Linked DNA regions of Coturnix japonica. The protein of the gene in region 1 purifies or fractionates together with the protein of each later gene. This does not show direct contact. Links are inferred from orthologs where the notes say so. Each region holds a gene or a part of one and is shown in the gene's direction. Other genes may lie near its edges.

The links. Proteins that work in one complex are often made in the same cells at the same time.
Region 2: the proteins of EPC2 (region 1) and MBTD1 purify together in Homo sapiens (affinity purification with mass spectrometry; 3 studies listed by BioGRID and IntAct, with this or other methods). This does not show direct contact. The link is inferred for Coturnix japonica from reciprocal best matches to the Homo sapiens genes EPC2 and MBTD1.

Annotation. Positions count from the first base shown.
Region 1 is NC_029522.1:31,185,383-31,189,664, reverse strand, and holds the start of EPC2 (enhancer of polycomb homolog 2), read left to right. Parts: upstream 1-1,475; 5' UTR 1,476-1,733; coding exon 1,734-1,886; intron 1,887-4,282. UniProt on the Homo sapiens protein: May play a role in transcription or DNA repair.
Region 2 is NC_029533.1:8,711,357-8,715,349, forward strand, and holds the start of MBTD1 (MBT domain-containing protein 1), read left to right. Parts: upstream 1-1,186; 5' UTR 1,187-1,299; intron 1,300-1,464; exon of another isoform or gene 1,465-1,578; intron 1,579-2,283; 5' UTR 2,284-2,434; intron 2,435-2,924; 5' UTR 2,925-3,116; intron 3,117-3,993. Other genes in the region: UTP18 (U3 small nucleolar RNA-associated protein 18 homolog), read right to left, coding at 238-333, 420-547, 651-917. UniProt on the Homo sapiens protein: Chromatin reader component of the NuA4 histone acetyltransferase complex, a multiprotein complex involved in transcriptional activation of select genes principally by acetylation of nucleosomal histones H4 and H2A.

The DNA of each region.
Region 1 (4,282 bases):
GAGAGCTACAGAGCTCTCTTTGCTACCACCTTCATTCCTATGGAACAGTTCATACTGCCATCCTTATGACAGCTTTCAGTTTCTCAGATGCAGCTGTTGGGCTCTGATTGTTCCAAAGGAGACACACAAGAAGTGCTGTTCCAGCCCAGGATTAATTTCACTTACAATCTCCTGATTGTTGCTGCACAGTAAGACTGAGAAACTAAAGCTGTTGCACAAGTGCGTTGCAATTACTCTTTGGAAAATGGCAACCATCTGCTTCTACCAACCAGTTGTGAATATCTTTCCTGATAACAAACCAACTTTGAGGGTTAGAAGTTTGGCTGCTTCCTGTAACTACTGAGCTAAAAACTACACCAATTTGAAACAGTCATGTAAAGAGGAGCATTGCTGAATGCATCTCACACACAATTTGGGCTACTACAAGCAAGGCTGGTATTTAGCTCTGAACTGCTTTACGATGTGCTTCTGTGTAAAAGGGTGTTAGTTCCAATGCAAGGCAAGAATTGTCTATGAACACAAACATTTTTTAGAGCAGAAGGGCATGAGTGAATGCACTACTCCAGATTGCCTCCAATTGAAGCTGTGTTTAAATAAATCAGTGTGCAGCGGTGCCTTATAGATTTGTTGGCATTCAGAAGCGATTTAGACACGTGTTTTAATCCCTAAGTAAGAGGAGGGTACACGCTCAGGTTCACTGACAGCAGCTTTTGCTAAGGCAGATCCTGACAAGTGTCACTCAATCACTGCTCTGACCCTGAGCAACCACAGCCTGGGCAGCACCAGCTCGGCAGTTTTCTTATGTTAAAACTGAAACAAAACACCTTTAAAGGTAAAATCAGGCACCTGCACAACTCCCTGCGGGCTTCTCCTGTGGAGCAGAGCTGCTGCCGGGCACGGGGAGTGAATGACTGACTGACTGACTGACTGTGACTAACTGACTGACTGACTGGCTAACTGACTGACTGACTGACTGACTGACTATCTGACTGACTGACTGACTGACTATCTGACTGACTGACTGACTGACTATCTGACTGACTGACTGACTGACTGAATGACTGACTGACTATCTGACTGACTGACTAACTAACTAACTAACTGACTAACTGACTGACTGTGACTGACTGACTGACTGACTATCTGACTGACTAACCAACTAGCTGACTAACTGACTGACTGACTGACTTTAACTAACTAACTAACTAACTGACTGACTGACTGTCTTCCCGCCTCCTCAGCGCTACTCCTCCGGTTCGAGCGTCCAGCCGGCAATGCACGCTCTGAGGAGCGAATCCCCCCGTACGCCGACCCCCATAGAACTACCTCACCCACCTCCCTCCATCCCGCTCCACGTCCCTCAGCCCCGCCCCTGGCTGCGCGCGCAGCGCACCCTCCTCCTCCTCCTCCTCCCGCCTCCCTCCCTCCCTCCGTTCCGTCCCCCCCCCGCTCCGGGTTCTCGCGGTGGCTGCCGGGATCGCTGGCCGCTTTGGTTAATGTCCGCCATGTTTGCCATGGCGCAGGGAGCGGATCGAGCGAGCCCGGCGCGGATCTAGGGCTGCGGGGCGTGCGCTGTGAGCTACGGGCGGCCCCGCGGAGAGCTGTTCCGGGGCGGCGGGACCCTCCATGGTGGTGCGGGCCGGGTGCGGGAGCGGCTGGGAGGCGGCGGCGCGGCCGCACTGAGGGCCCCCCCCGCCCGCCCGGCCCCGGGGTGTTATTGTGAGGGGGAGACAATGAGCAAACTCTCCTTCCGAGCCCGGGCGCTAGACGCCGCCAAACCGCTGCCCATCTACCGCGGCAAGGACATGCCCGACCTCAACGACTGCGTCTCCATCAACCGGGCTGTGCCGCAGATGCCCACGGGGATGGAGAAAGAGGAGGAATCGGTAAGGGAGCCGCGCAGGGGGGGCACCATTGTTTATCAGACCCCCCCCCCCCCCTCCCCTCACGGGAAATAGGCCATCGGCATTCACCAAGCGCACTACGCACGCTCCCCACCGCGGCGCTGCACGGCTTGGACGGGGCCCTGCGCAAAGAGCGCAGCGTAAACTGCTGTCCGACGCCGTAAGCGGGCCCTGCTCCGCCATCTTCTTTGCGTCCCGACTCGCGAGTGTTTTGATTAGCGGGGGGGAGGCCTTTACGTTAGCGTAAGGAGGAGGAAGGCGTAAGGCGCGTCTGTGAATGAGCGGGCGGGCGCAGCCGGCGTAGCGTGCTAAGGCCGCTAACCTTGGGGCGGGCTGCGGCTCGGGCAGCGCTGTGACAGGCGGCGGCGTGATCGGAGAGCAGCACAGCGGGGCTGGGGGGCAGCATAGCGGGGCTGGCGGTTCGGGTTGCCCGGCTTGAGCCTCCGGTGTTTGAAATGACTCCGTTGTTTTGGTAAACGCTGCTTGGAATAAACTTGTTTGCGCTTCAGCTGACGGGCTGCCGAAGTGATGGTGAAGTTCAGGCTGGTGCTCGTGTATGGATTTTTAGCTTTGGGTGATTCTGAAGTTTTTGTCTCTTTTCTGTAAGGAAACTTGTGCTAAATCCTACCGGGCTGTAAGAATGGGAGGTATGGAAGATTGAGGTGGGATGTCAGGGATGTCAGTTCTTTACTCTGAGAGTGGTGAGGTGCTGGAACAGCTGCCCAGAGAGGCTGTGGATGCCCCGTCCATCCCTGGAGCTGTTCAAGGCCAGGTTGGATGGGGCCCTGGGCAGCCTGGGCTGGTATCAATGTGGATGTTGGTGGCCCTGCCTGTGGTAGAGGGGCTGGAGCTTCACGATCCTTGAGATCCCTTCCAACCCAGCCATGCTGTGATTCTGTGTGCCCTGCAGTGTGGCTGTACAGGGTATGTTCTGCAGGAGGCTCGATATGAAGCAGTCAGAGAAGCAGCAAGGAGGTGCAGAGTGAGACACGTTATCAGGGCACAGCGTTCATCTGTGCCACTGATGGAGAGTTTGGGGTACTGCTGTGTGCTGACAGCTCTGTTTATGGGGTGGGTCTCAGCCCAGTGCCCCACAAGCGGTTTTAAATGTAGATTTCTGTGACAGTGGCATGTAAGGCTTTTCTGGGTATAGATGGCTGTAGTTAAATATATATGAATATACATATTATATGAATAAATATATATGAATTCACTCCAGCCAGCTCTTTTTATTGGTTTTTTTTTTTGTTTTTTTTTTTTTCATAGCAAATGTTGCTGTTATTCACAGGGACTTCTGTGGGGAGGGAGCTGCTCACCTGTTCATTTCTGACATCTCCACTACTCAGGAGTCTCAGGGAATGGTTTGAAACTGAGACAGGGGAGGTTTAGGTTGAATCTTAGGAAGTTTTTCCCCCAGAGGGTGGTGACGCACTGTTCACAGGTTGCCCAAGGAGGCTGTGGATGCCCCATCCCTGCAGGCATTCAAGGCCAGGCTGGATGTGGCTCTGGGCAGCCTGGGCTGCTGGTTGGTGACCCTGCACACAGCAGGGGGTTGAAATGAGATGAGTTTCGTGGTCATTTTCAACCGAGGCCATTGTGATTATTTGTTTGTATGCTCAGCCCTCTGCTGGGGTTACGGCTGTTGGGGTGGCTGCTGTTCACTCACACACACATACAGCTCAGTGGTCCCAGAGCCAAGGGGTGACTTCCAGTACTGACTGAACTGGCTATAACCATATTTACCCATTTCCAAGACTTAAAACTGCTTGATGCATCTGCCTCGTACCTTACAGCCTCATTTCTCTAGTAGAGGAGTATGATTTGCTTTGTTCATGATTGAGTTTTTTTGCATCGAAAGACACGAACCAGAGTGCTTTTATTTTTTTTTTTTGTGTGATTTCATTCTTATTATCTTTCAAGTAGTACTATTATTTGCTACGTCAGCCTGAAGTTAGTGGTGATTCATTGTTATCGCTCATTTCTAATACTATTTCTGAAGTTATTTGGACGAGGAATTAAAGCGGTGCCGAGTCCCTGTGGTTCAGGCAGGGTGTTGGAGCTCACCGCTGGTTGTCACATCTGGTGTGTGGGTGTGAGCATCTTCATTGGACTTTTGTTTTGATCTGATCTTGATGAAAATTCCTGTATTATTTCCGTCTAAGTATCTTAAAGATTTACATGTGCTCGAAGCGTTTCACAAATCAGCTGCTCTTCTCGCTCACACGGAGGTTCCTGCTGTGAAGGGATTAGGCTTCTGGTATGTTGTATGTTTATGTTAGTGAGTGTTTATCATTTATCCTGAATTAAACCCGAGTAGGAAAGCGTGTGGGTTTTCTAATCTCCTGTAAGAGGGAGCTCATAATTAAACAAAAGTAGGA
Region 2 (3,993 bases), on another chromosome or scaffold:
TCTTAGAAGTAAACAAGCATTAAGTTGATAAAGAAAAGTCAAATAACGGTGTTACTCTGGATTTAAAGATCCCATAGTCACTATAAGAAGCACTAACTGAGAAGCACCTTCCAGGGCAAGAACAGCTCCAGGGCTGAAGCAGTTTACAGCAGGAAAAAGACAAACAGGGGCTGAGAACGCCAAGTCTATCTGTACATCTCTTAGCACAGCTCACTACAAAAACCTCAATGAACTCACTGTTCTTCAAGCCTCGCTTTCAGCTTTTTCTTCGTCAGTATCTTGTCAGCGTCGCTTTTCATCAGCTCCCTCCTGTACCGGTGGGTCATGTCGATCCTAGAGCAAAAAAACACAACAAATGCACAGCTCAGCTCAGCTCAATGGAAGCCGATGGTCACTGTACACCCGCCGTGTGATCGCACCTTTCCTCGGCTTCATCCTCCTCATCCACCCACACGGGCCGTTTAACGTGGGATCCCGCTGTTCCTTCATCCTCCGATTCCGACTCCCTGGATCGCTCCGGCCGGGTCCCGCTTTGAGCGACGTTCAGCTGCAACAAACCGGGCCGGCTGCTGTCAGCGGGGCGGGCCAACAACCTGCCCCGTCCCGCCGTGTATCGGATGCCGCCCCCATGCCCGGTACCCGCCCGGTACCTCGTTGCGGCCCAGCCTGTGCAGCAGCTCGTCCTCGTCCGCCCCGATGCTGTCACCGAACACCAGCTCCTCCAGCTCCCGTTCAGCGGCCGTAGTGCTGGAGATGGCCCGTAAGTGCCGGGCTCGGTGTGACGCTTCGTCCTGCACCGCCGTGTCCTTGTGTTGCAGCCGGACCCGCTTCACCACCTTCATCTTCATCTTCATCTTCTTGCTCCGTCCCGTCCGTTCCGGTCTCTCCGCACACACAACACGCGGCACCGCCCGCATCGCCCCACGGGGACACCGGAACCGGAAGTGCCGTTGAGCACCCACGCGGTCGCACTCACACCCTCCCCTCTCCGGATTGGCCGGGCCCACACCACGTGATCAGGGAGCTTCCCCAGGCCGCGAGGGCCGTCACGTGACCTCCTTTCTTCGCCTTATTTCCTTCCTCCCACCCCGCGTGTCACGTGACCTGGCGCTCTCCATTCCTCGCGGGGGGGGGCAGTGACTCACGTGACCTCTCGTTCCCTCAGCGCTGCCCGGTGCCGGCCCGGCCCGTCGCTCCGTCCGTTAATAACAACGAACCGGCTCTTGGCGGAGCTGCCGTCCCCGTCCGGCCCGTCCCGCCCCTCCGAGCCCCGCGGTCCGTCCATGGCTTCCCCCCGAGGTGGGTACGGCGAGCGAGGAGCCCCGAGCGGCGCGGAGCCCAATGAGGGCGCGCGGGGGGCCGGGCTCCGCGGCTGCGCAGAGCGATGTTGGTGTTGTTGATGTCCCGGCGCACGGAGCGGGGCTCGGTTCGATCCGGGACCGGCTGAACTTGGCGGCCGCCTCCGGACCCGGCCCCGAACGGGGGGAGGCGGAGGGGGCCGAGCCGAGGGGAGGGGGCGGAGGAGGCGGCGGGGAGTGAGCTGCACCACGGGGCCTGATGGAGAACACAAAGGACACGGTGAGTGAGTGAGTAGCGACGGGATGCGGGAACGGAGGAGGACGAGGAGGAGGGGGGGGCCGCTGCTCCGCCAGCTGCTCGGTCCGGCCGGGTTCGGGTTCGGCTCCGCTGCCCCTGGGCCGGGCCGGGATGGGGCGGCCCTGACAGCCCGCACGTGGGGCGGCCCCGACCCCTTTGTGCTGCGCTGTGCCGTGCTGTGCTGTCGGTCCTTCCCGGAGCGATCCACGGCGCTGTGCTGGTTGGAAGCGCTGTTCCCATTGACTTCCTGCCCAGTTAAAGCCCCGACCGTCCCCTTCCAGCCCGAGCTCGGCGCTCCGGGGCCGTTCCGTTGTGCCTCGGTTCCCTGCGCGAGCTCCCCGGCTCTGTGTTGCTGCGCTGTGTCCCGGAGCAGCAGCTCTATGGAGCGCCCCGCTGTGAAGCTCTGCCTCGTGGGACAGCTTTTTTCCCCCTGGCTCTAAAGCTGAGGGGCGATTTTCTGTTTATTTGAACGCAGTTTTTGCGTGTCCGACAAGTTGCCGTTCAGTTTTTAGTCGGTTGCGATTGTTTGTAACGGTCCGGTTTAAAACTTGCACGGAACGGAATCAAAGAGTTAAGGGAGATCCTAATCGGGGACTTTAAATGGGGACCGAAACAATGCAGTCATTAAAAAGATCCGTGGGACTTAACAGATGGAGGCAGTAATCTGTGCTTGTTACTTCTGCCCAGGGATCGCGTTGAGGAAGTGTGTAACGTGAGCCGCAGGGAAGCCCGGCAGAGCTGTGTGCTTTCCTGGGTGGAAGCTGCTGTTGATGCACGGTTTGGCTCTTGTTCCCGAGAGTGTGGAGACCTGTGAGCACACAAGGATTGTAGGCTGAAAGTAAGGATTATCTTCATTGTTGTTCCCTAAAGAGCTAATTAGCTGTGGTGGTAATTACTCGGGGGGAAAGAAATCCCACCTTGGCCTTCCTTCTCTTGCTTCTAAAAGCTGATTTAATTTCACAACATTCACGATACCTTCTGCAAACTACTGCAGCACACCTTCGTTTCTCAGGTAAGTTGGTGCACGTTGGGCATGTGATATTTTGCTGAATCTGCCCTTAAGTACGCAAAAGGAATTGAGGTGTAGCAGATCTTGGTTTGGGGTCGGTGTTATTCTACTGTTGTTTTGTTGTTAACAGAATTGTTTGAACCAACTATTTACCTTCTAGACTTTGCCTCTTCCATGGGCTCCTATGTGTAAAGGGCTTTGTAAAAATATAATGAAGTTTGTAATGTGTATTCAGTTTATTCAAATTCAGACATTTCATATATTTACATCCCCCCCTCCCCTCCAAGTTGCCTGCTAATTTGATATATTTCTTTGTAAGAGTCTCCACTCTTCTCGTGTGAAACCCCGCGGGGAAGAGGCTATGGACAAAACCATTGGCAAACAGCAGCAACTGGCTTCAGACAAAATGCTGTCATACGTAGCAAATGAAGAGGCAGGAAAACACGTTTCTGTAATTTTCCAGCTGAGATTTTACATGTAATAAGAGTGGAAGGCACATTTCCAGATAGAGGTGAGTTGCTTATATATAACGAACTAAGTTTGGCTGGTTCTGATTTCCAGGATCCCGAGATGTTTAGTTTTGGGGTTTTTTGTTTGTTTGATTTTCATGAAAGCTGAAAGTATATTTTCTTTCAGTTCGTCCCATGTTTGGGTTTTTCTTTCTTGCCATGCTATGAGGTTCATGCAGAGCTGCAGTGATGTGCTGTTACTGCACGGGGTGGTTTTGGCCAGCTGAGGTTCAGAAGAGTTGTCATAAATGAGTTTTTTGTTCTTGGTGCATTAATGCTGACATCCAGAGCCAAAACCTCACTCGTGGCATCAAATGTGAATGAACTTTCAAATACAGAAACTATTTAATCAAATTTAACAGTGACTTTGAAGCGCGCTGTGGGAAAAGCTTGCTTTGTGAAGGTTATGTGATTAAAGTGAATGTTTTATCGGATCCCAAGGGCTGGAAGTTGGTGGTGACCTTCTTACTTCTGTCATGTTTCTGTGAGTGAGATCCAAGCATTGAAACTGATGTCTCTGTGTGAGGTACTGTGTGCTTTGGTTAAGCTGCAGTTCTTGCATTTCTAAATCGCTGTCTTAGTGAATTCAAGCACCAAGCTGATAGGATGGCAGTGAGTGCCCATCTGAGCAGGAGGAAACGCTTCTGTGGTTGTTTTGTACCAACTGCCTTTGGTCAGGATGTGCTGACTTGGAGGCACGGTTTGGCTGCTTGATAATACGGGGTATTTGCTATAGCAAGTTTTCACCTTTGAAACGCTTTCTTTTAAATGTTGCCAACACCCGAGCATAGTTTTCATTGATGTACTAGAACAATTTCCCAAGCGTTTCATGTCCAGTTAAGGTTAAATTGTTTTATCTTGCAAATTGTCTACACAAAT